Solanum lycopersicum: one gene and its partners. The main gene of each other region encodes a partner of the protein of the gene in region 4 in a complex. Links are inferred from orthologs where the notes say so. Each region holds a gene or a part of one and is shown on either strand. Other genes may lie near its edges.

Region 1 (6,169 bases), on a different chromosome or scaffold from region 4:
GATCTGGGAGCTGTTTCTCAACATCACATGTAGCTGGACTATTCCAGAACACACCTATGATCTTTTTAAATGTTGGATCAGAAGGGGAAGAAGGGGGTATCAAGACTCAAAGGAAGTGGTAGAAACTCATACCATAATGCATATGGTGGTCAGTGCGGAAGGGAAGAAGTTGGAGATGTTTCGAAGATAGATCTAATTCCATTCACTAAGTAAAATGGAATTGTTTGGTATCTTTAATTTTTGGTGTAAACACTTTGTATAGAAGAAGTAGATCAAATTATAGAAATAATAGAGAGCTTGTAATTTTGGTTAGGGCTGTAAATTTTTGAATGTGGCCAGCATGTCCTTAATGCTGAAGGTTACAACTTTACCAATGTTCAAAGAAAAATAAAAAAAATATATTATATAAAAACACAAATAATTAAGGTTGTGAATGTTATTTTAAATGTTGTTAAGATTATGTTAATATACATGAATGTAAAAGTGGTGTATACATGAGAGTTTAAGAAGGGTACTTTTGTTATTTTATATACCTTCATCACAGGATAAGTTATTTTGGGATTACAATTCCATCTCCCAGGAGGGATAACTTATCCCAGTACTAATTGTTAATCCTGGGATAAGTCATCCCAACCTTTGCAACCATACAATGGATTAAAGGGCACTCAAAAATTATCCTGGGACGGAACCCTCTTATCCATCACACCAAAAGACCTCTTAAGTATTTTATATGCAAATGTTGAGGTGAAGATATGGACCACATCTCTACAATTAGCAACTCACTTGTGACGGGATGAGATGATTCTGAGTACAAAGGTCATGCACAATAGAGGAACTTATTCATTAGGCATAGCATAACATGTAGCCCCGCTAGCACCCATACGGATCTTTTGGAAGGAGAAAATTAGAATAGGCTTCGAAGGTACAGAGACCAACTATCGACATTGGAGGAACAGCCTCAGTTCTAGTTTCTTTTGGAGTGTAGTGACCTTATGGTATAGTTATAGCATATTGGGTGTCAATTGTAGAGATTCACACTATGTTGTAGATTCTCTACTTTCTTGTATACACCTATGGGAGATTTCTCCACCATTAATAAAATCATTTATCTTATCAAAGCTTGTACTCAAAACTATCAGTTTTAGCATTTTTTATCCATATCAGCATAAATAAGAGGATGTGATACACTCAATATAAGGATGAGGAAGTCAGTTAAACAAAAAACTACATAAATATATTAACAATTCATCACTAAGATAAATCTTCGTATTTACATCAAAAAGCAAAATCGAAAATGCATGTGTGGTTAACTATTTAGGGAGCCTATAATGATTTACAAGCTCAAATTAACACCAAAAGGAAAGGAAATATGTGCAACAGCATTTGACCAGCCGACTGAGTTATCAAACCCAAAAAGATCTACAAAATCAAACATGCACAATAGCAATTTAAATTCAATGATTTGGAACTAACTCAAACCAGAGAAATTCAGATCTTACGAATCTGATTGTTCTGGACTTCGCAACAGATTGGTTGTTTCTAATGTCCTATACACCGGCTTCTATTAGTACTATGGTCCCAAAGGGAAACTTAGTGCTCCTATATGTCCCTAGAGAGCTTATCTAGCTACTTGACTGTTGCAATTACAATTCCACTCACCTGCATCCTATTGTAACTCATACATATGTCCTGATAATGACCAAAGAAAACCTGAAAAACTACTCTTATTTTCCACCTGTACCTAGTGCCACTAATGCTAGTGATAACAACATATAGTCAAGTTTGACCTACTGAAATGAGATTTTTACAAGTCGATATTTGACTAAATATACTCATCCATTCATCAAATTAAGCTAATACTAAGAAATAGAATTCATAAAACTCCAACAAAGAAATTGATGTTTCAGGTTGCAGGTATATAAGCCAAAATCAAGGGTGTTTGTTTGATGTCCAGAGCAGCAAGTGAATGTAGCTTACAAAGATACCCTTGTATTTTCACATATTAAGAGACAATGTGGACTGGACAAGGATGGAATTTGTTCTTAAGGAGGAACCTTCAGAATGGGAGATTGACAAAGTGGCAGAATTTCAAAATTCAGTAGGCTCTTTCAGCAACCTCACTGAAAAGGAGGACTTATTAGTTTGGCAGAATGATGCCAAAGGTCAATTCTCAGTAAATTCAGTCTATAAGGAACTCAACAAGAATGCTGGACAGGAGATGGAATGGCCATGGAAGATCATCTGGAAACCAAAAGTACCCTACAGAGAAAACTGCTTCATGTGGCTATTAACAAAAGAAGCAGTTTTGACTCATCAAATCTAAAGAAAAGAGGCTCTCAGTTGGCTTCGAGATGTACTTTATGTGGAGAACATGCTAAGACAATTAACCATCTTTTTTGCATTGTACATAGACATAACAATTATGGAGAATGTTCATCTGTCTAAAGGAGATAAGATGGGTGAAACCAGGGAGCATTAAAGGAATCCTGAGCAGCTGGAATAGAGATGGCAATGCTTCTGACAAGGAGAAGAGATGGAAACTTGTCCCGGCATGTTTTTGGTGGACAATCTGGAAAAAGAGAAACAGTTGGAGTTCTGAAAATTGGCAGAATAGCTTACAGAAGATCAAGATGGACTGCTTAGCTCTTTTCTATTTTTTGTGTGAACAAGATATGTTAACTAGGACAGAAGATATCTTTGATGTGCTAGTTATAGGTAGCAGTTTAGATTAAGACTAATTTAGACTAAGACTTTTTTATTCTGTAACTTGTAAAACTTTTGAAGGGGAACTACACTTTTGTTGTAGTATACCTGTGGATATATAGACTAAAGTTACCAGTTTCAAAAAAAAAAAGTAAACAAATATGGACAGTAATTTCAGGATTAATAGTTGACAATAAGAAGAAAAGGGAATAGGAAAACTCACATCCTGAGCCAATTGGGTAACAATATCGGCCAAACTCGACCCTAGCTCCTCCTGAGATGCATAGTCCACAAACTCCACACACTCTAATGCCAATTTACATTTCTGAAACGGCAACTCACCTCGAACCTTGAACACCCAAAACAACCCAAAACAATCAATTCACAGACCTCAAAGCAACAAACCAATGAAAAGCGAAGCTAACAAAAATATCCTTTCAGGGATTTTTTTTTAGTTCTTTTACATGATCTAATCAGTATGTTGCTTTAAATTCAATAAATTTACAAACAGAAACAAGTGTTTTGCGGCAAATAACCAATTAACCACACCCAAAAGGATCAATAATTTACCAATTAGCTATTTATCGACTTTCCAAATAATCAAACATGTCAAAAAAAATCACCTTTCAGCAACTAACCAAGTATTTCAATAAATTGAATAAAGTTTTCAATCAATTATGTAATAATGCATTTTTAAATTCATCAAACTTATCAAAAATCACTTTTTTGCAGATAAACCAACTATTAGTTCAACAAATTGATTAAATTAGTAGTGAATTATCTATTAATCGGTTTTCTACATAATCAGACTTCTTTACAAAGATCACTATCTTAGCAAATAACAAACTAATATTTCAACAACGTGAATGGATTTAACTCAATTATATAATAATGGAAGTTCCAAATAATCCTAAGTATCTAAAACGGAACACAAATAGTTCAAAATTGAATATATAAATAAATAAAATGAATACCATAACCCAGCAGAGCTCATAAAGAAAGCGAAGAGTGGGAAGTGGTTGAGCGAATTTGAAGCTGGTGTTTCCATTTTTCAACTCTTTGATGGAGTGCTCTGTAAAGTACAAATACTCCAAAGGTGAAAGAGACATTTTTGTTGTCGAAGATGACAAACCCTACGACCTAGGGTTTTGGCACTTGCTTTTTAAGAATTAAGATAGAGAAACACCAAATCCTAATTTCGAAGATTTTCCATGGCGATATCAACTTCTTCTATTTTTAGGGTTTCGGAGCTTCAAGGAAAATAAATGCCCCTCTGCGACAAATTTCTGATCCTTCTTTTTTCTGGGTTTCTTTTTCTTATTTATTTTATAAGAAAGAATTATTTACTCGAGAAAATTGAATGAAAGGCGTCGAAGGGATGGTTTTGTTGGTGACACACTGACAAATAAAGGGTCAAATTAACATTTTTCAAAATTTTCTAATCTTATATAAAATATTAAAAAGAAATTACATTTTTCAACTACTTTAGTTATAAGATCTTATTTATTTTTATTAAGATTAAGAATTTGAACCTAAATATACATTTGGATATTAAGAATCACATTACGATCAAGGTATTAGAATCTGAATGCAAAAAATGAATTTTAAGATGTAGTTCTAGGTCTAAACACTGAATTATTAAGATTGGTTGTTTTCAATATCGACTATGTGCATAATTTATTTATTTATAAAATTATAAATTAAACATTATATCAATAAAATTTATAATCCAAACACAAGATAATTTTTCCAAAAAGTTGTTTCAAGAATAAGATTATAACCAATCGCAAAAAAAATGATTTATTTGTTTTCTCAAACAATTTTTTTCTCAAGAAATAATGATAACTTATTTCAAAGAAATTTTGGCAATAAACGAATTGTGACAAAAATATTTCTTCATAAATATCAATTCATCTAAGAATATTTTATATATTAACAATATTAATTAAATACTTGTAAAAGATTATGAAAACTTACTTATTCAAAAGAAAAATGGTATTCAATTGGAAAAGGAGAGGAAGAAATTTGAAATTTGAACAGAAGATAAGCAAGGAAGAATAGAATTTATTTATGAAAAGACATTTATTATTTTAATGGAGTCTGAAAAATATTAAGACTTTATTATAAATCTGATCTAATTAGACTCATTAAGACCCATTAAGAGATTTTTTTAAAGAAAAAATAAATAAACTTAATGAGCTGAATGTGAATGATTAAAATTCAAATCTAAAAAGCAAACATATTTAATAGACTGAATCTGAATGATTAAGATTAAGGCCTCTATTAAGTGCAAACAAATAAGGCCTAAATTTTTTTCTTCTTCTTTTTAACATGCTTATCTTCTAATTTTTTAGAAAATTCAACCCTCAGCAAATATTATAATTCTCTTCCTCCTCATCTTCGCTGTCACTTTCTCTTTCTAAACTAAAGGTCGTGTTCGACTTAAAACGGATAAGTCGTTTTCTTAAGAAAATTCGACCCTCAACAAATACTCTCATTCTCTTCCTCCTTATCTCCAGCTGTCACTTTCTCTTTCTGAACTGAAGGTCGTGTTTGACTTAAAACAGATAAGTCATTTTCTTAAGATATTACTACTTTCGAACAACACACTCTTGATATTAAGTTCTTTCTTGGGTTAATAAACAAGAAATCGTTCTATATATGTGAAAATTAAATAATGGTGTAATGATATTGATTATTTCTTATTTTTGAAAGAAAATCCACAAACCCAAAATAAACCCTATTTTTCAAGAAATATATATGCATTGTTGTAGTTCAGTGAAAAGTCATTTTTTGTTGCTTTTATTCTTCTTGTTGTGACCATTTTGTTCATATGATTGTAGAAATATAGTCTTGTTTAGTTGTCCAACATATATTTTATTTGTTGAAAAAATGTGTCATATGTTGCAACATATTGGTGATATGTTGATATATATTACAACATAGTTTTTATATGTTTGAACATGTCACATATGTGTTAGAGCAATAAAATGGCTTTAGTAACATGTTACTCATATATTGAAACAGAAGATTCATGTGTGTCAACAAAAGGTACATTTGTGGCAATAAATGTCCATCTCTGTCAAAATAAGTATAAATTGATACCCATTTTTATTTTATAATTAGTTGTAAATTCTCAGCTTTTTTTATTTATCTTATAGATAAAATGTCACAAGAAAGTTCACCAGCAGCTCAATCTTTTGCTAGTGTTGCATCCTTCTCGCAATAGATGAACGATGGCCTCTACAGATATCATATAAAAAAATAAAGTCATTTCAGCTATTATTAGAATTTCTTGATGTCCACTAAATAATTATATATAATGTTTACACAATTATAGAAGACAAAAATGATAACTACTTAGTCAATGGGTGGAAATTTGGATTCGAACAACTTGATTTTGTAGTTGCATTTTCAAAGAAGGACTGATTTACGAAATGTCCCAACCCAATAAGTGTTGGATTGA
Region 2 (6,093 bases), on a different chromosome or scaffold from region 4:
GGGCCAGCAGTAAGAGAAAGAGACGGACCAAATGCAGTAGGCTTAAACCCAGTACAGCACAAGTCAAGTTTACATAACTTTTGATAACTACTACATGGGCTTATGAATCACCGTAAACTTAGCTGGGGAAGAGACTACCTCATAATTAAACTTGCGCTTATGAATAGGCTTAAACTTGCGAACATCCAAGATTGTTAGCTCATCATCCTGTACCATAAAAAAACTGAATAAGAATATGCACCAAATTAATCTCCATGATAAGCAGATAGTACGGAACTCCACAGAATATCACCAATAAAACTCACCATCATAAATATGAATGATAGAAAATACATGCAATAGAAAGAGATGAAGCTAAGATACATTTCTGTTTTTGTCTGCACTCATTTTGACTACATACATATCTATAAGCAGCTAAGATAATAGAATATAGAAGTGCTTATTTTAGGAATTAATAAATGACAGAAATAATGAGTACCCTGTTCCCAACAGCTATATGTGTCCCATCAGGCTTGTAAGTGATATTGATATTTTCCCCACTGAGTTCAACTTGCTGTGAGCATTTCCCACCTGCCAAATGGAGACCAAAATGTTTTAGCATCTGCAACACCCTGACCAATAAATAAAAACATATGAATATCTTCAACTTCCTGGAAATTGACGGGAAACTAGGCTGTGAAAGTGTACGTAGAGTTTTTGATTAGTAGTTATAAAGAAGAAAGTGCATGTAGAGTTACCTAACTCATACCCAACCCCCCTGGGTTCCACTTTACATGACATACTTCTAAGCAGTCAAATAACCTTTTCTTTGACCAAAAATATTTTCATATTAGAATGTGTAATTTATAGTTTTCTTTTTTCCAGTTTCTAACTATATAAGATTGTTCTAGACATAAGAAACTGATGTATGAATTGAGACCGGAAATTAACAGGTTTGACCCACTTACGCTAGACCCCTCCAATTATTTTTGAAACAGGAGTAATATTGTTCTCGGATGATTACTTTATGGGAATAAATATAGTGCAAGTCCTCAAGTAACCAATAGACATAGGCTCTTATAGCATTACATTCTTTAAATTCCAACTCATTATTTCATACAGTACTTTGGCAGCTTATTGCTGGTGCAAAATAATATAAACTTACTACGGGCATCCCATAATCGAACTGTCTTGTCACCAGATGCTGTAGCTATCAATTCTGCATGTTTTGGATCCCAACATAACTGGTCCACACTGTCGGTGTGACCCTTTAATTCAACATCTTTTACCTTTCCCTGCAAAAGAGCTATCAGAGACTTGGAGTGTATGCAGACATAAGAGGTTCTATACTCCACCTCTCAAGAATGAGAAAAGACTAGAATATTGAAAACATAGATAGGGCGCAATCATTTTAGTGTAGTTTTATGGTGGCAAGCTATTAATTGTTCAGGTTTTTGCAAGCAAAGGCAAAATATACTACAATCTTCATGCAAGTTCCAAAGTTGAGGAACTTGGGATCTGTGACTATGAAACAAGATAAAAGTACATTTATAGTATTGATACAGAGCAACAGAAGCAAAATATCATTCAATCTTCATGCAAATTCCAAAGTTGAGGAACTTGGGATTTTTGCGACTATGAAACAAGATAAAAGTATGTTTATAGCCTTGATAAAGAGAAATGACAAATGATATAGAGTTATGGAGCACTCGATCTACTAACAAAGTAAAAATTTATCTGGTCTATGACCAAGTAAAAGATTTAATTGATAATAACAAGGCTATCTTGGTCATATAAAAGGAGTATACCACAAAAGGAGAAACCTACCAAACATGGTTCTCCAAAAGACACCTCAATCCTCTATACAAACAAAAATTACACCAAAAGAAAATAAGGGATCGGAGACTACTCCTCAATTGAGCAAAGCTAATCTCCAATTCTCCACCCTTTCAATAGCTCTCCTATTTCTCTCTTTCCAAATGACCCACATTACTGCAAGAGGAGTAACATTCACACCTTGTGTCTTCTTATCCTAACTCCACTCTTCCAACTGAACATCAACACTTCAACAGACATTTGGGATTGCCCAAGAAATATCAAACCATCTAAAGATATCCTACCATAACCTCGAGATGTTTTGCAATGTAGCAAAATATTGATCATGTCCTCTCCTGCCTCTTGACACAAGAAACAACAACTTATGCCCACCACCTTTCATTCCCTAAGATTCTTCACCGTCAATATCACCCCTTTAGTAGCTAACCACAAGAAGAAATACACCTTCTTCAGCACCTTAGGTGTCCATACCGAGTCATACAGAAAACTAACTTCCACCCTAACAGGAAGCTTTTATAGGACTTAATAGAGAACACTTTTTTATTCACCAACTCCCAACTCAAAGCATCAGGTCTATCTACTGGTTTGCATTGCTTATGGTATAAAACTAGAAAGCTTTGAAGATCGGTCATCTCCCAATTTCGGAAATCCCAGAAGGTCCCACCCCCTAATTTGCTGAACAGACAGCTCCCTTTGCCCAGAAATGCTATACAACACCAAGAAATCATTCTTTAACCAAATCACTGCACCACTTTTGACCCCCAAAAACTAGTCTCCTCCCAACCCCAAACTTAAAAGAAAATGTTTTTGTTAAAGGCTTCCCACCCCTTCATTATATTCTTCTACATGCCAAACTCGGAAGGTAACCACATTTGTTCTCCATCTTCCTTCCATAACTCCATATTTGTCCGCTATCACCCCTCCCATAAAGCTTCTTCCTCCATCTCGAATCTCCAAAGCCATTTATCCAAGAGGACTTTGTTAAAAACCTTCAAGTCTTTAACCCCAAGTCCTCACCACTGTTTAGGAGATGTCACGGTCTCCCGTCCCACTAGGTGAAACTTCTTTGTCCCATCCGCCGCATCCCAAATGTTCCTTTGCTACCTTTCCAGCTTTTCTATAACTCCACACCAAGTGCGTTGAGCTGGGACATGCGATATTTTACCATCCTGTACAACTCTGGAGCATTTCTGCATCTTTTTACCCATTCTCCCAATTCAAACCTCTCTGTGTATCTATAACATCGAATTCGTATGACCTCCCACAAGTGAGGTTACGCTTACTTTACCCCACCTTTGATAAGTAACAACAAAATTTAAACCTAACTGCAACAGGCATTACTATCATAGGTTCCTTAACTCATACCACATAGAACTAGACTTTGGCAGAAACAACTAAAGTGAGAGACCAGCTTCTTAACTCTAGAGAAAATCTCAGGTGCCTAAGTTCATGCATATATCATAAAAAGCTATCCTTTTTTCAGTTTATTTACAACACCCAGTTTCCCACCACTTCAGTAGAACATTTAAAAATCAGAGCAATAACAAAAAGCTATCCTTTTTTCAGCATTAAAACTTAACTGAAAACAAAAAAGATGAGCTCATGAAGCTTACATGACCATGAGGCTCAATTTGCCAAATACGAGCTGTTTGATCCACAGAACCTGAAGCTAATTTCGTGCCACTGCAGTTCCATGCCACCGAATGCACCTTTAATTTTTTTTAAAAAAACAGAGAAGATAAAGTATCACATAGTCAATTCATCTAATCAGAGAGTTCATAAAAAGGAAAAGCAAAATTAGGGTTGTATTGTTAACAATGAAGTGAAGGAATAGTTTTAGAGAGAGAAACCTTCTTCTTGTGTCCCTGGTACTCTCTGCTATGAAGATTTTTGAAGGGTATTGTTTCCGCCATTACTCTTCTGCTTGTTTGCTCCGTTTACTTCTCTGAATATTTTTTTTGCTTGTGTAGAAGACGAACAAAACGACACACAATATTGTCGTTTCATGCCAACCCTGTTTAGAAAATGATAGACTAGTCCTTTAAGTTTGAGAATGGTCTAAAATAGTCCTTTATACTGTCGAAATTGAGCATTTTTGGTAATTAACACATGGTCGCTAGTAGTTATTTTTGTTGAAACTGCCTCATGAGAAATAGGTGAGCCCTCTTTTAAACAGAAAAAAAAAATCATCTAAACGGGAATTTCAAGGTTTAAATTTAAACGAGTTACATATTTTGTGTTATAACAATGATCAAGAGCTAGAAGTGTTCAACTTTAATAAATTATTTTGGTGTATAACATTTAAGATCCATTGATTTACCGTAATTATAATTCTTTTGTTATAAAGAAACAATTCATATATTTTATAGAAATAATAATATAAATGGTGGAAATTAATCTTTGATATTTTTTTCATCTAATAATTGTGAAGGAATTAATCGTAGAAATATTTATTGTACATGTTTGTGTGTACTGGCATATATTTACTTTTTTAACAATATTTTATTTTTTCACAAGCATAAGTCAAAGTGTTCATCAAAATGATATCTTTTATATTATTTATTTATTTGGTCTATTAATTGAAAAATACATATAACAAAATATTAGTACCTATCAAATAATTGTCAAAACTGTACAATTATGACTTTTGAGCAAGACAACATTTTCAATAATTTTAAATTTAATTCAAAAGTTTGAACAAATAATACTTCTTATTTCCCACTTTTTCTGGAGATTAATTGATGTGATTGGGGATTAGATATAAAATAAAATAAGTAGCTTGCCCATCTATTCAAAAAAGCAATTTAAAGAATATAAGAAATATTAAAATAAAAAGGTTCAATCAACTTCCTAAATACGTGGAGAAAGTCCAATCTCATCCATTTAAGAGTACTATTAGAGATAATTCTACTTTTATTCCCTCAATTATTCATAATTTTAGTCATTGTGATATTTGATTAAGTATATTTAATTTGTAATGAATTAAAAGTGGGTTTTTTAGATTATATTTGAGTAATAATATAAAACTAGTATGATATTTTGATAGCGAATAATTTAACACAATTATTCATGATATGTTTCAAAGGACATATAATTGAAAAAATTAAATACTTCATGCAATTAATCGAAAATATTCATCAGTTTATTCAAATATTATAATTATAAAATAATTTTAAAAAAATTCATTAGTGTTAATCTTAAAGTTTTAGCTGAGCTATAGTCTCTTTTGACAGAATTCAAAGAAATTACAGTTAAAAATAAATTATTTTAGTTCTTAATTAAATATTTTAACTTTAAATTTAGATAAAATATTATACTAAAGAATACATTTTGTTACATAAATTTTATATAATATAAAAATAAACAAAAATATCAAACAAACAAAAAAAGAAATTATTAGCCACCTACCACAAAATCCACTAATTTAAGGTGTGAAGCACAAGGATGGTCTTTGGTGATACAGTAAAAAGTTGTTAACTTTTTCCATGTTGTCTTTTTTTTTTTTTCGGATAAATTTGAATTAGTTATATTAATAAATTTTGAACAATAAATTACTGAGGAAAATATCTCAAAATAGAGAACTATCTACATGGTAATTCATATATAATATATTTACTTTCATATTTTATACTAAATTTGTATGATTAAATTGCAAATCATCAATTTCTTAGAGGTTCTTTTGATTAATTTTTAAATATAATATACTTGGCAATAAATATAATTATAACATGACAAGTGATATAAATTTAATGTGTCACAATATATTTATTTTGTTAAATACAATATAACATGACGAGTGATATAGATCTGATATCTCATTTATGTGAAGATTATTGAATATCAAGTAGGTATATAAATCAATAATGAAAAATTTTATATATTTTTTAAAAATTAAAACTTTATCATTCATCTATTAAAAAAGTGAAACTATTTTGTGCTCGCATATAGAAACACATTTTTAAAATCATAGAGAATTGAGAAGAAAACAAGTTTAGTGTTGTCATTATACTCGACTTAAGTCAAATAATTTGATTAATCGATAATCTTTTTAATGTTAATTTTACAAATAATAGATTTTATATTTTTTTGTAAAATACCATTACTTCAATCAAATGTATATTATGGAAGAAATTAATACCTCAAAATCTTAAATATAATAAAAGGATTTAATTCTTTAAGAATGCACACGAAATTTTATGGCTTAGATAATTATTTAAGGTTTTTAGATTATTTTACATATTATAATTTACTATGTAGACTATAGGATATTTAGATGAA
Region 3 (6,354 bases), on a different chromosome or scaffold from region 4:
ATTGAGCTTCACGCATCTGGTGATCACAAAAAGGTAGTCACCCTTTGCATTTGTATGAAATAATCCTTTTTTTCTCTTGAGTTCTTTAGTCACTTTTAAATGATGACTACAAGTACATGAAAGAAGAGAACATAAAACAGCTCTAGATAACCTAACCATAACCTTGCCTAAAAGTAAGTAAATGGGTAATAGTAGTTTGTGGAACTTTATTTGTGAAGTTATCGTCTTTGAGAAAGATGAGGGGAAGGAAAGTGAAGGACTCTCAAATAAGTTTTGTATTTATATCATTTACCCTTTGTGCACTGGGCACTTATGCGTCCTTTGAATGGAACTGAGTTGCATTTGTCTGGCCCTAACTGAGTCTAGTATGGTTTGAGTCTTGCTTTATCCAAATGGGAGTCTAGCTTGTTTGATCTCTAAAATTCATACAGCTAATTACACGTATTGCTTGAATCTTATGAATGAAAGATATTGACATATTATTGTCTCTTTATCACTACAGTTGCTTCTAGCATATGTAAGCACAATTCGCTATGAAGGCCCAGAAGTTGACAGAGCTTCGGTTGATCATGATGCTAAAGCTCTTTACAAAGCTGGGGAGAAGAAACTGGGAACTGATGAGAAGACTTTTATACGAATTTTCTCTGAAAGAAGTAGGGCACACTTGGCTGCTGTTAGTTCTGCTTATCACAGCATGTATTCCAGGAAGTTAAAAAAGGTAAGCTGACTTCATTTGAGAAACTTATTCAAATTTCCAATTGTAGTTAACCAGTGTATTGCAATTGTTACAGGCTGTAAAAAGTGAAACCTCTGGACTCTTTGAGTTTGCTCTCTTGACTATTTTGCAATGTGCTGAGAATCCAGCAATATACTTTGCAAAGGTACAAGTTACATTTGTTTAAATTCTTATCAAGTCATAATCATGATGACCATTTTGCCTATAATATTAATATATTCTTGAACTCATGTTTCTGACTAGCTCTTTCTTTTTCTGAAATGATATTGACCCCTTTTTCATTCTTTATTCTAATGCGAGGGTTGAGTTTGTGGTTGGTAATATGGGTGTTGTTTACTTGTGTTATTTTCTCTTTACCTTCCTTGACTTAGATGAACCAACTTAACTTTAAAGTCAGACTTATAACACTTACCTATTAAATTGGTCTATATACGTATTTGGCATTTGTATCTAGTGTGTTTGGTACGAAGGAAAACATTATCCACGTATTGTTTTCCATTTTTCTCATGTTTCGTTGCTCATATTTGAGAGAACATTTTGGTAAGGATCACATTTTCCTCTAATTAGTTGAAAATGACTTCCTCAAGGATCCAAGGCAGTAATAAATTCTTCTTATTCTTGTTGTCTCTATATCTCAAGTTTGACATGGAATGGGATTCTAAAGATTTTCATGTTTTTACTATAGCATCCTTCATTGGGGGCTTCAGAATAATCTCTAGTACTTTGCTATAATCTGTGTTATCATTTTTGTCTTAGATTTAGTAAGCTATGCTAATTCTTACATGAATAAATTGTATAAACTCTGTGGCTGTACTGCACCTTACATATGTTAAATGGATTCAGGAGTTACACAAGGCAATGAAGGGCTTGGGGACGAATGATACAACTCTCATAAGGATAATAGTCACGCGAACTGAGATTGATATGCAGTATATAAAAGCAGAGTACCAGAAAAAGTATAAGAAATCTCTTAATGATGCTGTTCATTCGGAGACTTCTGGTGATTATCGGACCTTTCTTCTATCTCTTCTGGGGCCTGGTCACTGAATCAAGAGTCTACGCCATGCAACAGGTGTTATTAGTGTGGTATTAGTGTTGAAACTAGTGTGTAAGCAGTTTCTATTGTATGCTAATTATTGTTTGCTTATTTGCTGAGTAGTTGATTTGGAACAATGTCTGTCCATGATCAGTTGGATACCTTTTTTAGTTTAGTCGAATGCTAAGTGTGAATGGTGTTGTGAAGGTGCTTTCAGATGTACACTTATTTGGGTATGTTTGGTACCGGAGGAAAATATATTTTTTCCCACCTAAATTTCTCATGTTTGGTTGGTTAAATTTTTTGAAAAATATTTTGCAACATCCGTTATTTCCTGCCCTCACTTTAATAGATTTGTTGTTTGTGCGGTCAGTATTTTATATTGTTGAAAAATTAAGTTTATACTTTGTTCACTGATTATGATGGTCCAATTGAGATTTTTTTACGTATGAGTTAGAAAGTCAACTTTAACATCTCTCAACCATGTCATAATTTTATTCATCTCATTGTAATCGCGTTTAGTAAATTTTGACTGTGTATGACTGTGTTGGGTAGGCAATAATATTTATAGACTATCACGTAACTTTGACCAATCATTCCTTTAAAAAAACTCTCGAGAGCCACAAATATTAAAAGAATGGACAATAATAAGTAGTTGAAGAAAATTTGTTTTCCTATTCAATTTTAAATGCTACATAGATTGCTCTTTTATTATAGGGTGATGATTTGCTTCATATATCTCATTTTAAGGGTATTAAGTATGTTTTATACAATTAAACAAATGAAGAAAAAAAGGAAGTGGTTTGAAAATATAATTGTGTCTAATGGTAAATGATCACATTAAAAGTAGTATTAAAATTTTGAAGTCAAACTATTATTGTTGTTATTATTATTTTTAGAGCGCTCGCTACTTTATTTGCTTGTCGGAAGTTATGACGGACTATCAAATTTCCCAACAATTTTTCAAAAATTTTTGATTAATTAAAAAATAAAATATTAAAGGAAGGAATTTACTAAATTTGTATTTGTATTTTCTAAACGAGTAAACAATGTATCACATAGAAAATAATTTTTGAGTAATACAAGAACATCTTGAAACAAAAACATATCTCTTTTTAAAAAAATCTTTTGCCTAATTTTTTTTCCTTTTAAATTATGGAAATTAATGCTTAAAAAAGGAGAAAAAAGAAGGAAGCAATAAGAAGGGAAGACCGAAGCGCTCGCTCGAGCAAGAGTAAACGGATCAAACCCTAGTAACGTACACATCCAGAAGCTTAATGTACCACTTAAACCTGTAGGCAGCGACTGAGTAAAGATGAAAATGGACGTAACCATGGGGGAACCCGGTGAGATACTGCCGGAGCACAAGCCGGAAAGGTCGCCGCACGAGGTTCTGCAGCAAAGCAAAGCTTCAGTAGAGGAAATCGTCTCGAAAATGCTTTCTATGAAGAAAGAAAGCACGCCGAAATCTGAAATTCGCGAACTTGTCACTCAGATTTTCATCAACTTCGTCTCTCTCCGTCAGGTTAATATTTCATTGCATCTCCAATTGTTCCTTTTTAAAGTTCTATGAGTCCAGTTTCCAATTAAATAATCCGCTCGTCAATCCGATTTTGAAGTAGAGGTAGCATTTTGTTGTTAACGAAGTGATTAGACCAGTCAAACGAAGATGAGTTTAAGTTTAAGTATGAGCTGTTAGTACTCTAGACTCAATTTTTATATATGTATCATCCTTATGAATGTTGGTTGATGTAATTCAATGGACTCAGCTACAATACTCAGTGAGAGACTGAGAGTTGCTCTAAACCTTTGTAGGTAGATTTACCGGAGACCTGTGCTTTTTAGGTACAGCTGCCCTGGCGCTAGTTCATTTGGGACTATCATGGAGGGAGTCTATGCATAGTTAATTAATCGGATTTAGGAAACTGCGACCTTTCTCCGTTGTATTCTATTTTCATCCTGCAAAACACCTGTTAGTATTGTTTATCTTTGATCACTCTGGTTGGTAATCTCAACTCAATTTTATTTATTGAGTAGTTCTGATCTACGTGTACATAACAAACAAAAAGAACTGTATACATGTGCTTCCGTTTCTTCCTTTCTCTTTTTGGCAATTAAAGAAACATTTTATTAATTTCCAACTACCAAGTGAACTCTTTACAAAGCTAGGATGAAATATGAATTAACCAATTCAATCCTTTCTCATCTCATCTGCTAGAAACCAAACTAAATGGCAAATATAGTTAACTGCTCATTTAGTGATTCTACATATCTAAACAACATCCTACTATTCCTAGTTCTTGTGTTCAGAGAGAGCTTCATCTAAGTGTACTAGTTTCTCCTTGTGCATGGATGTGATTTGCAAAATCTGTCTGTTTCTTTCTGGCCATATACCATAAACCACCATAGTTAGACTACTTTTAAGTATCATCTTCCTTGGATCTTCGCCTCTGAAATTTTGTTGCATCCAACTCCATTCAAGTTCCCACTCCAGTATTGCCTTGATCCTTTTCTGCAATTTGCATATGTCGCTCCATATATCTTTAGTAAACTGACACTTGAAAAATAGGTGACTTCCAGTCTCGACTAAAGTGCTGCAGAAGATGCAAACAGGATATACACGAGTCCCCATCTCAAGAATAAATTTTTAGTTTTTAGCTTCCCCTGTAGACTCAGCCATAGGATGAAACTGTGTCTAGGTACAGCTATGTTATGACATAACAATTTATTTCATTTTGGTCATGGTACTAGGAAATGGAATCCTTAAATGGCGCCTTATATCACAATAATATAAGCAGCTGATTCTGTAGAGTGGGCTGCAATAAGGGCCCGGTGTCATTATGTTAATGAAAAATGGCTCGGCAGTATGTTGACGAATTGTCCCTCTATAAAAACAAGTTTTATAAGTCCAGGGACATGAGAATAGATCAAAAAACAGGGAGACTCAACCGTCTCCTGAAAGAGATGCAGCTTTGTTGAAAAGACAATTATCTCGCTTGCAAACATATCTGGGCGAGATTAAATATATGACTGGGGTACCCGATATTGTAATCAGCGTTGATCAACACGAAGATATATGGCCCTGTGAGAGTGTTATTACTTTAGGAATTCCGACAATTTGTTTCTCGAAGATTAGGTCTAGTTGTTAGGCTGTACCCTTAATATTGGAGAGTCGGTTGTATCTTCTTGTGTTTAAACTCGAATTCTGATTGAATGAAATTATTGCTTGATTGCTTTACTTCTCAAACTTGAACATGCTTCACTGCAAATTGCTCATATAATGTCTCTTAGGGTTGCAGTTATTATTGTTAGGCTGGACATATTCCATGTAAAGTTTAGATTCATATATTTTTATTTGATTTTTTGAGCTCCACACTTTGAGTAAGGTACTAATCCTTGAAATTTGTGGAACGTTTTGGGCTCTCTTATTTCATCTTACCATTATTAAGTTGTTTTAATAAACCAACGTTAGGATTGCGGAATAGCAAAATAATTGTGCCATTAAATCTATGCACGGAAGTAATTTGTGCCTGGAAATCTATAATATGTTCGACTGACTTTTTCACACTACCTTAAACGTCCCATAGGCAAATAGATCAATATTGCTCGAAGAGGATCGTGTGAAGGGGGAAACTGAACGTGCAAAAGCTCCTGTGGACTTCACCACGCTGCAGCTCCACAACTTGATGTATGAAAAAAGTCATTATGTGAAAGCTATAAAGGCCTGCAAAGATTTCAGGTCAAAATATCCTGATATTGAACTTGTTCCCGAGGAAGAATTCTTTAGAGATGCACCCTTGGAGATAAAAAACACTGTTCTGTCAAATGATAACTCACATAATTTGATGCTAAAGCGGTTCAATTTTGAGCTATTCCAGGTAAACTAGTTTAATGCAATTGGCGAGCACTTCTTTCTATTTCCGCACTAGTAATTGGCGAGCACTCCTTTCTATTTCCACATTAGTAATTGTTTACTAGTGTTCTTTCTCAGCATGTTGTGCGAAACGGAGTTGTTAGAAGTTTCATGTTGCTTGGTGAATCAAATTCTTATCTTTATTCTTAAACTCTATGTCTTTATGTACTATCATCTTTCCTTTTTTTTTTCTTTTTTTTTTTAAAGGTAATATTATAATCATCTTCTTTATTTCAATTACTAAACTGGTTCCAGAAGTAGATGTTGTGAAGAAAGTTTCATACCCAATGTTGTTACAATCAATAAAAATACTCTGAAACTATACCCAGTTTGGCTACCCTTTAGTGATGCTTTTGACTGTGGATTCTGCACATATTGTACTTATCTGTTCTTTTTTTTTAAAATATATGTTATGTGTAGAGGTTGTAACATGTTATTGCATGAGCTCGAAAAAATCTTGGGTATTTTAGTATTGGCTAATGTTGAGGTCAAATTTTATGCTTCTCTTGACTCTTTTATGTCGCTAAGTTTGAGGTCACATGGAGGTTTGTACGTCAATGGGGAATAGAGATATTCTGAAAATATACCCACCTTGACTTCCCTTGTAGTGGTGCTTTCAGTGGATTCTGCACATATTGCACGTGTATAATCTTCTTATAATGTAGATGT
Region 4 (5,592 bases):
TGTGCCTTGATTCAAAGATGGAGACGAAAGCCCATTGGTAGTCGTTGCTTGCATCACCTTTTTGATACGTGATGTTTTAATGTTAGGCAATCTATATTTTCATGAAATAAAAATATTATTATATTCAAGCCAATTCAACTATCAGGGGTCAATTAAATTCAAATTTCGCTGTATTTCATTCCTTTACATGGCTGGTAAAACCTGAACAATACTTGTTGGGTACCAGTTATCTTCTCTCTTAGTAAACAAACTGTTCCAGTATTTTCCTGGCTTAACATCTTGTATTGCAGGCAAATGATGTTGTTTTCTGTGGGCGCATTATCATGTTTCTAGCTCACTTCTTCCCCTTATCTGAGCGTTCTGGTATTTAGTTTTCTCTCTCTATATGTGGTTGGATCGCCTGTTTGTATATTGGTGCTAATCTGTTTGCTCAAATTCCTACAGCTGTAAATATAAAGGGTGTTTTCAATACATCGAATGAGACAAAGTATGAGACAGAAGTTCCTGATGGTAGGCATCTTTCCCTTCACTTTCTTGCAGATTTGGTTTTGCACTTTTTTAATGCTAACAGTGCATCAACTTGTTTGGTTTCAGGTATTTCTATTGATTTCAACTTTTATAGAACACTTTGGAGTCTACAGGTTGGTATCAGGTGTTTTGTTCTTTTAGGGGAATACTTTCGATTAGCAAAGTCTGTTAGATAAGCATCCTTAAAAACCTAACATCATGAGATTATTTCTGCATTTCCTGGTTACCCAGTTGCTTTCATACTCGTTACTTCTGAAGAAGTGTCACAGAGTGCTCTTTTACAATTTTAGTGGGAGCTGGAGGTCCTGATATAACTTCTAAAGAATTTACCGCTAAATGTATAAAAATAAAGCATTTCTTTGAATCCATTCCAAGTTTTGCTGTTGATTATCATACTGAATCATGAGGTGCAACCTCTATCACCAAAGCAGCAACACAATATTTATTACAAATGAAGTCATCAGGATGTCTTTGTAACATTGAAATCCTAGTTGATGCTATAGATGAAGTTCAGAGATGAGACTGTTGGTGAGAAACCAGAGGGACAAAGAATTGTTAGTAAACATAGAAGACAAGGAAATAAAAGAATGGATGTATATTTTATGTTATATAAATATATAGACCGGGGCGGGTGGGGAAAATATTTGTGTAAAAGAGAACAAATGCACCTGAACTGGAAGGTTAGGGTTTCTTTGATGTTGATATTACTGCAAAAATGCAGTTTGGGTTTTATGATGATATTACAACATGAAGTAAATTAGAAATGACAAAAGATAGCCATATTTGGCATGTAGTTAGGCTTCAGGGCTTGATCTTGCGTTAAAAGTACGTACAAGCTGGCTGTAGTTTGAGAAGAAGTGATTTGAGCTAAACCAATGTCTGGGTAGCACAACAACCTACTAAAATCCTGCAGCAAAGTTGCAGATTTGTACCTATTGCATAGCGCCATGGTTTTATAGCATACTATCACCATTTGGTGAGAGTGGTAATTCTGATTGTGGATTAGTGGATTCATGGATTATTTCGTATTAAATTTGCTTTTATTAATAGGTATTGGTAAATATTTTAAAAATCGACCCCTCCCCCCAAGAAAGAATCTTTCAAGAAGTATAAAAAGACTTAGTAACCAAATCATGTCCTCTGTGGAAATGATATCATCACTATAAATGGCTATAGAAAATGTTACGAACTCTATGGACATAATTTAATCACTTCAATTGGCTTATTTTAAATTCTGATTTGTTGGTGCTGTAGATGCAATCCCTGTTTCAATTGCATATTCCCTTTTCTCAGTTCCTTCTGTCATAATATCTGAAGGAGGTTCTCTTTGGATATGTCCATTATCATTTGCCATTTCATAATCGTTTCTTCTCAATTTCATGTTTTGCGGTTGCATTACCTTGAATACAAGATTAAAAAGGAATATGTGATTTAGGTCCTTCAAGTGGCTTATAAATGCTTTGCAGTGGGAACTTTAACTTTTGTTGTAAAATTCCTCCACTAGCATGCTTGAGGTATGAGTAGCCATCTTACACTTATGCTGCATTGACTACCCAGTGACCTCTATCGTCACACGCAATGCAAATAGTGGGTACTTGGTCATCTGTGTTGTATTGTTTTCTAAATCTAGTGCAGCCCAGTTAGGTACATCCCTTAGAATCAGCTGTTTCCTGATGAAGATGAAGGCCTGATAAAGTGCCTATTTGATGTCTCTACCACTACCTATGTGTATTGACCTTCGATTCGTAGAAGTTAAAGCTGTAGCTTAGTTTGAATAGTCTCCTTCACAGATGTGAGAACACATTTCTATGTAGTTTTTTTTCATTTTTATTTGTCTTTCTAATAGGAGGTAAGAACAGCAATTTATGGATCAAGTGAAAGAGAAACTCGTGGAGCCGAAGTGGGGTGAGAGAAGGCAAAGAGAAACCCATTAAAATCCAGTAACTATTAGTGTCCAGAAGTTTGTTTAGCAAGGAGTTAGGTTGCTTTTAGCAAAGCATAAGCTAGAAAACCTTCCTTATGTAGTATTTCCTTAAAGTTACGGGGAGATATAAAGGAAACTGATACAACCATGTTCTAGCTCTTTGATTCTGTCAAAATTGATTCCCGACCCCCAAAAGAAACGGATGTAAGCAAAGAGATACTGTCAAACTTAAATTTGAAATTATCTCCCTATACTCTTCTAAAGCAGTCATGTTTGATAATTAATAAGAGTGGCACATCAGATTACGGTGATAGGGGGTCGTCTCTTGTTGAATTCAGACAATCTTTATTTATGTATGAATCACTGCATTTGAAGTATCTCTGATAAGCTCTGGGCATGTGCTTCCCCCAGCTTCCTGTCTTGTTTAGTAATTTTTTTAGCTTTGCTAACTTAGGAATACTTCTGCAATCCACCATCCTTGATTAATGCTCCCGGCAAGTGGCACAAATTTACATCCAGTTTGACGGTACACCTCTTTGTCTGTTAAAATTCTTTGTGATGTTTCTGTTGCTGTTTTTTTCATTTACCATATGTAATGTGTGATCAATTATTCTTTGGGTCTTGCAGCTTGTTCTAAACACTTTCGAGGCTCAGCCTTTAAGTGATGAAGAGGGAAATGCTCATAACCTTGAGGATGATGCTGCAACCTTCAACATAAAATATCTTACAAGCAGTAAACTTATGGGTCTCGAGGTATGGGAGCATTTCCCAATTTTGAAGGCTCTTTTTAAGCAAAAAAGTAGCAAACCCAATAGCATATTCCTGATCATTCTTTTTGTCTCAGCTGAAAGATCCTAGTTTCAGGCGCCACGTTCTGGTTCAGTGCCTCATTCTGTTCGACTATTTGAAGGTAATGATAAGCATGTTGTTAGTTTGAGTTCAAAGTGCAAGTGGATCTTTTAGTAGTAATGTCACCTTCCAACATTAGTTGAAGTTCAGTAAATATATTTATTTTTTTTACAAATTCCAAAAATACTATTGACTGAACTTCAACTAAAGTTGGAAGGTTTTTTCTACTTGAAATTCACATTATCAAAACATCAAATTCAGGTGCATATCTTTGATTTCGATCAGGATCATGACAATCCAATGTTTGATAATCATTAAGTTGAAGATTCTCTAATATACGGTGTCAGTAGGATTCTTAAATGTCTTCGGAGTGGTGTAACATTGGAGAAGAGAGCTAATGAAAACGTGCAAAACGTGCCAAACTTTGTCTCTGCTGGAGTTTTGCTGAGGGAAGCTGTGAGAGTAAAGTTAGCCGAGGGAAGGAGAAGGAAAAACTTTGTAGTTAACTGATAGAGAGGAAACAGTAGATTACGTGGTTTGTAACTTATCTAGAAAGATCTCCTATTGATCTAGTCTCTTGTCATGATGGGGTCATTTGGCTATGACCTACATGTTTGACCATTAGTTTTTGTCCATTATGTCAACTTCCCCTTGAAATAGGGAATTTGAAGTTGAAAGCTTGTTTAAGCATGTCAAGTTAAATAATGGTCCGCTCACAAAACTTCAAGTTGTTTTAAGCGAAATTTATGACAAAACACAACCTCAACTTGCAAATACTTTTTCTTTTTTAAAACTTCAACTGAATAGTGTCCAAACTTCTACTTGTTCGTTATCATGCAGGCACCAGGGAAAAGTGAGAAGGAATTGCCCTCTGAAGCAATGGTTGGTATTGCCTTTGTTGTTTATTTCATTTCATGCCGTATCAGTTTTTTAGTGGTCCTTGATTCCTGCCATTGCTCTCCCTTTGTGAATATATATGTATATATAAAATATAGCACACACACTGATGCATATCGAGATACTTGCGCAAGGGTTTGCCTAGGCGTGAAAGTAAAACTGTTTCACATAACTGTTCGGAAGGACTACTCTTTAATCTTTATATGCTCCTTCCAAAAGAAAACCAGGGAATAAATGAGGCCTTTGCTCTTTAACTTATGTTCTGATAGAAGTTCTCTGAAGGAAACCTTGCAACTGTTAACAGAAGTGATTCTCTATTACAATCTTTAGACTGCTCTTTTCTAGAATGTTGCAAGTTGCAACAGAATTCATGATGATATAACTGATGTTCTTAATATACAATGTTGTGGATAATGAAGAGTATTATTTATGGTAATTTTTGATGTTGCGTATATCTGGGCTACATGTCCTTTCATAAGTTCTTTTCCCTGTTCTATTCTTTACTTCATTCTCATTAGCAAGTGTTATCTTTTGCCTGAACGGGAACCTGTTGTTCCTACATATTTTTTTTCTTTCAAGTGGAAGAATGAGAAAGTAGAACCCACCATTAGGTGGATTGCTATTCTATGGAACAAATACACGCCTAACACAAAAAAATTACTCTCATCCTGTCTCAGAACCACAGCTATCAAGAGAAAACAGAGGGTGGGGTGGAGTGTGGGGAATAATCTTATATAAGTATAAAACTGCTTTCTGGAGAAGAGGACCCATTACCTCAATGATTTGACTTCTCCACTTAAGCAAGGGGCTCATCAATAACATGTCTCAACGCATTGGAAACAATAAAATGATAGCACGTACCTTATTTGGTGCACGTCTTAGGGTGGAAATGGGGTCATGGCATATTCTGGTTAATTTGTGATCATATCTCATTTTATAAATAGATCTTATGGTAAAGAGAAAATGCCATCTCGTTTGTTTCTTTCAACCATTTTGAAGTTCTTGCAGATACAGTGCTGCAGAAGTAGGGATTGATATTTTGTTAGTGATTGCTAGTTTGCAAGTCAAGATGCTTGTGTTTTTGTACCTTATAGAGAAAATAGTTGATCATTTATTGCTGAACATAGCTTTATGTTAACTGGGGAGTCCCTATGGTCACTTACATAATGTAATCATCATGTGCACATCATGGAGTCTAAATGCCTGTCCAACATCGGCTAGGGCGTTCAGTTGAGGTGCCGCAAAGCTCACTACGATGAATATTTGCACACAGAGCATTGTGCTGTACCTCAGCAACAAGCTAATTTTGTTTCCTCAAAATTGTAGAAGGAGGAAATAAAGACTAGTGAAGAGCGGGCAAAGAAGCTTCTTGAAATGACTCCACCCAAAGGCAT
Region 5 (6,287 bases), on a different chromosome or scaffold from region 4:
TGGGGGCAAATCTATGTATATGGAAATCTAGAATGGGGTGATTGAGAAATGTGAGAAGAAGTTAGCAAGGTGGAAGTCCCAATATCTCTTTATGGGTGGAAGATTGATATTGATAAACTTTGTGCTTGATGCACTTCCAACATATATGATGTCATGATTTCCTATCCCAACAGGAATAATCAATAGGTTGGATAGCATCAAGAGGAAATTTCTATGCCAAGGGAACAAAGACAAGAAGAGTTACCACCTAGTCAAATGGAAGGCAGTGATCAATGAGAAAAGATTCGGGGATTGGGGATCAAAAATCTGAAGAATCAGAGTAAAGCTTTAAGAATGAGATGGCTATGGAAATATTCAAATGAAAATCGAAGTCTTTGAGCTAGAGTCATTAAGCTAAATTGGATGACAAAGGGATCACTACTCCTTATGGTGTTAGCTTATGGAAATCTATCAGAATTTCGTGGAATGAATTCAAAGTTAATACCATAGTCAAAGTGGCAGATGGAGCTAAAATTGTCTTCTGGAAGGATGATTGGCATGAAGCAGGCAACATGGAGACATTATTCCTACATATTTATAACTTAGTTTTACATCAACACAGCACAATAGCAGAATTGTGGACACCTTAAGGGTGGAAATTTGTGTTCAGGATACACCTCAATGATTGGGAAATACCAAGAGTAGCAAAATTATTCAGCACCATTGACCAATTCAGTGGTTTGTAGGCTGGACAAGACATCCTACAGTGGCAGGGATATGTTAGGCTTTTTGTAATTAGCCTTCCAAGTCCCTCTATGTACGAATTTTTGGAGGTCACCAGCATGTCCTTAATGCTGAGGAATACAACATTACCGTTTTTCAAAAAAACTGGCTTGAATTGGATCCTTAAAATTTCTCTTAATGGAGGTTTAGATCCTGAATCAGTAGCAAAGAGCCAAATTGGTGAATGGAGTAATCTTGGCTGGAAATTTTATTTTTTTTTGAAGAAGGTAACTTGTATTATGAACAAAAGGAATACTCAGAAAAGTATTCCAGTATACTTGCAACAAAATTACAGAGGGAGAGGTGTCCCTACTAAGCTTCATAAATTCTAAAATACTAGGAATATCCTCTTCTTGAGGATATTTGTGTTACACCCAAAAAAAAAGGACTAGACAGTTCATCTTCAGTTTCTGCAGAGAGCGGCTCTTGTTTTCGAAACATCTCTGGTTCCTTTCCATCCATATAGTCCACCAAATGCAGGTTGGGACAATCTTCCATCTCTCCCCGTGTCCCGACTGATTCCCATGGAATTTTAGCTATAGGAGATTAGCAGATTTGCAGAATTCTATGACACACTTGCTCAATATACTGGAACCACCCTCCTCAGAGACATATTATGGTGGAAAAACCCACAACTCAGGTGAATTCTCAATCAAAACAGCAAACCACTAGCTGATTTATGGCAACAATATTAGTGACTTTTGGCCTTGGAAGCACAGATAGAAAGACTATGATTCCATATAAGGTGCCCTGCTTTGTATTGTAAAAAGGCTTGTTCGATACAGGATAAGCAACAAAGAATGCAACTACAGCTATGTTCTATCTGTCTTTTATATGGAAGAACTGCAGAAACAACTAATCATTTGTTCCTGCACTGCAGAGTAACCACCCAACTCTGGGATTTGTTTTGGGTTATGTAGGCTTGAGCAGGACTATGTCAGGGAGTTCAGTAGAGATGCTATCTAGCTGGAGAAGAAAAGGGAGCACCAAAGTTCAGAAAAGAAGATGGAGCATAATCCCAGGATGCATATGGAGGGATATTTAGAAGGAAAGACATTAAAGATGTTTTGATTTTGAATGCAAAAGAAACCCAATCCAAAAGATAAAGTTTAATTCTATTTTGCTATTTCATTTTTAATGTAAACAAGAATACATAGAAGACACTGAAACACTACTTCAAGTCCTAGAGTCTCTATAGTTTTCCTTTTTGCTAGAAGATATCTTCCTAGAATAGTAGCTTTTGCCTTCTAATACTCCTGTGAATACTGCTTCACAGCCCTTTTTGTGATCTAATATAAGTTGTTACCTTCATCAGAAAAAAAAAACATCAGCTGAACTGCTACAAGAGGGGCAGATTGAAAATCTGAAGTTGCTGAATTGACATTTTTAACTTCTAATCTGGTAAGCTGATGAAAGACACAAATACATATACATTGCATCCCCTGTTCTTTCCCCTCCTGAACTTACTTTCATAATGTGAGGACATTATAACAAGTTTGTCCGCCAAACAAATCATTCAGCTGCATCAGTTTCAATACAGCAAAAGTGTTGGATGCTAGAACTGGAAGCAAATCCAAGCAAAGGAGCTCAACATTTTTAAATGTTCATAAATAGGATGTTAGAATCCGTCATTCAACAACAATATAACTACACCTCAATCTCAAACTACTCAAGGATACATTACTGCACACACAAAAAAGATGTTACCTTGTGCTGATTCCGTAGATCCCAACATTTCTTTCCACTTCCATCCTCGAATCCGACCATCATCACCACAACTGCATGAAATTACATATATTAACAAAGAATTGGCACATGTGATAGAATAAATAACACTAACCGGTGAAATTAATAGGATTTATTTACTTTTATGTAATAAGTACCACAAGATAATTGCCTCTCTTGCTTACTTAATTGAAAAGAAAATTACTTCACATAGTTTCACAGCTCAATCATTAACTACAACTCTCTAAAACCTCCGTACGAAACAGTTTTACAACTTTTCTCTACTTGCCCTAACATATGAGCTAACTTGCACGGACTCTTCACTTTTGATGCCTCAACTGTGTCAGATTATTCAAAAATACACTACTTTTGGAGAATCCTTCGTCACGCACCCAATGACATTTTTGAAGAGTCCAAGCAATATAGCATATGAGCTCTAGTCAAGCTAAAAGTTCTTACCTGCATTTTAGATACTTGAAGTAACATTTTCCCATAATTTTGATTCTAAACAAAAGAAAAAAGTTGTAATATCTCCCATCTGTGCAAATTTACCTACAGCTTTATCAGTACAGAAAGATAGACGCAAATTCTGAAAAGCTACCTCAATAATAGTGAATCTTCATGGTTACCATAAAATTTAACATCATAAGCAGGTCCATCATGTCCTTGTACCAGCCAACTAGGTTCAGCTACTGGCACCAATGAACTAAACCAACATCACCAAATAAAATATCAATCCAAATAAAACCTGACCAGAACACTTCGAAAACATTGAGACAACAGAAACTCACTTGCCCGCTGAGTTCAATCCCTATCAATAAGAAAAAGGAATTAAATAGTAGCAATTAGTTTGTAGAGCAACCCCTATATTAACGTTCTTTCCTACTTTATAGACTGTAATATTGAGCTTACAAGGCAAGAAGAGATAGAGTAAGCCGCAATGGAGCCGTCGCTAATGGCGGCGACGATGAGGTCCGGATAGGAATTATGGTCCGGGTTCGGGGCAAATGCAGTCCGGAAGACCGTTCGACATTGAGATTCTCTCTCGAGTATAATGGAATCTCTGTATATGTCTTCTTCCCAGTTTCTGCAGTCCATGGCTGTCGCCATTGTTACCGTAATGTTTTGTGTGTAGTGAATCGAGATAATTGAGGGGATTTTGACAAAAAGTGTTTAGAAATTAAAATTGGTGACAAATTACTGATCCGAGTTAAAAAAAAAATTAATTAGAGATTAAGATAATTGGAATTTAAAATACAATATTTAAATTTTTTAAATTTTTAAAACACTTGAATAAACCCAATTCTCATTATCTTTCTTTTCTCTCAAGTTAACAGTGTATTTTGGGTACATTGTTGCGAACAACTCTATTGCTACGACTTTTCAATGCCTTCCTCTCAAGTTGCGAATTCAATTTATCTTTTTCGTCATCGTCGTCATCTACCCCTTAAGGTAATATTCTTTTCTTTCATAGCTAGGATTTTGAGATTGTAACGGTTGATGATTCATTGCATTGTTTTTGTATATAAATTTTTATATTACTTTTGAATTATAATTTTTTGCTATCATGGCAAATCCTCTTATCAAAACTCAAGCTAACGGAAGTAAAGTTTTTTTTTTTTTTTAAGACTCCAAACAAAATCAAATTGAAAATTTGAAATTTTAAACATGTCCTAACAAAAGTGAGAATTTTTATTTCCTCAAAGTCATTGATCTCAAGGGAATTGATTAAAGCAAAAGGGATAAAGTGAGGTGACATGAGACCATCAAGATGGATATATCTAGATCGGTTTTCCTTGAGAGAAAAATTGCAGACAACAAATACACAAAAATCCACAACTAAGAATCAAAATAAGAACAGATTCAAATATTTTTTTAAAGCTAGCAAAAAGTTATAATAAAATGGAGATTCCAATGAATACTAATACTAATACTAAGTAGGCGTTTGTTGATAATAGAAATTTTATGGATATTTTTGATTTAGCAAAATGATATCGATGGCATGTAACTAAATTTCTATTTAACTGCACTACATTATTATAACGGAAAGAGGAAAAAAAATGAAAATAAGAAATTGTTTTTTGACTCGGGATGAATCTTTAGTGATAGATGAAAAGAATAGTGATGGATTTTATACATTTTTTGGATATACAAAAATAGAAAATCACATTTACGATCTACATAATTTTCTTTATCCTTTACTTTTGAGATTTGATTTTCCTTGACAAAATAATTATTCATCTAATTATAACCTTACTTAATCTATACATGAATATGTATTAAGAAGTGAAATAAGTAAAGCAACATCAAATCTAAAAAATTAGCTTATCAATTTTGCATAAATTTAAAATCGCCATTGTTGATATGAATTGATAGTTTCATCTAGTTGAAAAAAATATATGGTGACTGATATAAGTATTGATGGGAGTAATAGTAAATAATTACAAAGCAATGAAAAATAAAATGAATCAATCAATATGAAATTTTGGATCTTAAGAAATTGACCCAAATTAAATAATGAAGAGGGTGGGTGAAGAGTGAAAAATAATATTTTAAAAAAGATTTGGAAAAGTAAAAAAATAATAATTATCTAACATGTCATCGATGTGACACTTAGGTGGAGCGCCTGCACTTCACCCATGTATATGAAACTGGTATTGTATATGTAAGGTGTTATTTAATTCACTTGCAAAAAGATTAGGGGGGCAAATAATTACCCGTAAAGTTAAAGTACTAAAACAAGTTTTGCTGCCAACTTCAGGATGGATTTTATGTATTTAGACTTAATAATAAATATAAGGATTTTGACTAATTTAAAAGGAAAATCTATATTGGATTGTAATTTTATTTGAATTTGCTACGAACAATAAGTAAATTGTTGTATTCATAACAATTGCTGAAATCCTCTACAACAATTAAATGAGTTGTTATATTTTTTTTATTGCAATTGCTGAAATTCTCTACAACAATTAAACGAATTGTTATAGTTTTTTACAAAAATTGCTCAAAATTTCTATAACAAGTACGAAAATTATTGTAGTTTTCATAGCAATTGCTGAAGTTTTCCACAAAAAGTAAGAAAGTTGTTGTACTTTATATAGAAATTACTAAATTTTCTTTAATAAGTAAGCAAATTAATTGGCTAATTCAATTGACAATACCACTCATATTTAATGAAAATTTGAGTAGTTTCATTTAATTTACGCTTACAATTTATATTACATAGTGATCTTATAAAATGATGTAATTATTTGAGATACCAGATGATCAATTCCATTACAATTTCACATATAATCAATTTATAATGCGTAATTAATTGTTTAATGATTGTAACACTCATATTTAATAATAAATAAAGCAGTGTTAATTTAATTTTAAAAAATAATTTATATTAGATATTGATCTTATATAATGAGATAGTTATTTGAGATATCAAACGATCAATTCCACTACAATTTCACATGTAATCAATTTATAATGAGTACATAATTATTTTTTTTGTAACACTCATATTTAATGATAAATAGTGTAGTGTTAATATAATTTTAAAATAAAATTTATATTAGATAGTGATCTTATATATTGAGAATTGAGATAGTTATTTGAGATACTGGACAATCAATTCCATTACAATTTCATATGTAATCAATTTATAATGAGTAAATTAATCAATTTATAATGAGTAAATGATTGTTTATTGGTTATAACACTCATATATAATGATAAATATAGTGATCTTTGACCCAATTACAAATAAAAATAAATTTGATAGTAATCTTACACAAATAAGCAAATTATTA

The links.
Region 1: THO complex subunit 1 (region 4) and THO complex subunit 2 share a complex: the UniProt entries of both Arabidopsis thaliana proteins name them as parts of the THO complex. The link is inferred for Solanum lycopersicum from reciprocal best matches to the Arabidopsis thaliana genes THO1 and THO2.
Region 2: THO complex subunit 1 (region 4) and THO complex subunit 3 share a complex: the UniProt entries of both Arabidopsis thaliana proteins name them as parts of the THO complex. The link is inferred for Solanum lycopersicum from reciprocal best matches to the Arabidopsis thaliana genes THO1 and TEX1.
Region 3: THO complex subunit 1 (region 4) and THO complex subunit 5A share a complex: the UniProt entries of both Arabidopsis thaliana proteins name them as parts of the THO complex. The link is inferred for Solanum lycopersicum from reciprocal best matches to the Arabidopsis thaliana genes THO1 and THO5.
Region 5: THO complex subunit 1 (region 4) and THO complex subunit 6 share a complex: the UniProt entries of both Arabidopsis thaliana proteins name them as parts of the THO complex. The link is inferred for Solanum lycopersicum from reciprocal best matches to the Arabidopsis thaliana genes THO1 and DWA1.

The regions. Positions count from the first base shown.
Region 1 is NC_090804.1:20,377,880-20,384,048, forward strand, and holds the start of THO complex subunit 2, read right to left. Parts: upstream 4,124-6,169; 5' UTR 3,813-4,123; coding exon 3,678-3,812; intron 3,053-3,677; coding exon 2,927-3,052; intron 1-2,926. UniProt on the Arabidopsis thaliana protein: Acts as a component of the THO subcomplex of the TREX complex which is thought to couple mRNA transcription, processing and nuclear export.
Region 2 is NC_090806.1:70,054,522-70,060,614, forward strand, and holds the start of THO complex subunit 3, read right to left. Parts: upstream 3,846-6,093; 5' UTR 3,729-3,845; coding exon 3,666-3,728; intron 3,525-3,665; coding exon 3,429-3,524; intron 1,275-3,428; coding exon 1,145-1,274; intron 571-1,144; coding exon 479-570; intron 208-478; coding exon 139-207; intron 1-138. UniProt on the Arabidopsis thaliana protein: Acts as a component of the THO subcomplex of the TREX complex which is thought to couple mRNA transcription, processing and nuclear export. Contributes to the integrity of the endogenous trans-acting small interfering RNA (ta-siRNA) pathway.
Region 3 is NC_090803.1:65,320,836-65,327,189, forward strand, and holds the start of THO complex subunit 5A, read left to right. Parts: upstream 1-2,796; 5' UTR 2,797-3,087; coding exon 3,088-3,297; intron 3,298-3,587; exon of another isoform or gene 3,588-3,773; intron 3,774-5,359; coding exon 5,360-5,650; intron 5,651-6,354. Other genes in the region: annexin D5, read left to right, coding at 1-33, 503-718, 792-881, 1,580-1,783. UniProt on the Arabidopsis thaliana protein: Acts as a component of the THO subcomplex of the TREX complex which is thought to couple mRNA transcription, processing and nuclear export.
Region 4 is NC_090800.1:83,526,178-83,531,769, reverse strand, and holds part of THO complex subunit 1, read left to right. Parts: intron 1-290; coding exon 291-363; intron 364-444; coding exon 445-510; intron 511-594; coding exon 595-641; intron 642-2,906; coding exon 2,907-2,978; intron 2,979-3,079; coding exon 3,080-3,205; intron 3,206-3,296; coding exon 3,297-3,362; intron 3,363-4,141; coding exon 4,142-4,183; intron 4,184-5,524; coding exon 5,525-5,592. UniProt on the Arabidopsis thaliana protein: Acts as a component of the THO subcomplex of the TREX complex which is thought to couple mRNA transcription, processing and nuclear export. Contributes to the integrity of the endogenous trans-acting small interfering RNA (ta-siRNA) pathway.
Region 5 is NC_090806.1:51,842,013-51,848,299, forward strand, and holds the start of THO complex subunit 6, read right to left. Parts: upstream 3,886-6,287; 5' UTR 3,598-3,885; coding exon 3,400-3,597; intron 3,299-3,399; coding exon 3,279-3,298; intron 3,194-3,278; coding exon 3,089-3,193; intron 2,541-3,088; coding exon 2,470-2,540; intron 1-2,469. UniProt on the Arabidopsis thaliana protein: Acts as a component of the THO subcomplex of the TREX complex which is thought to couple mRNA transcription, processing and nuclear export.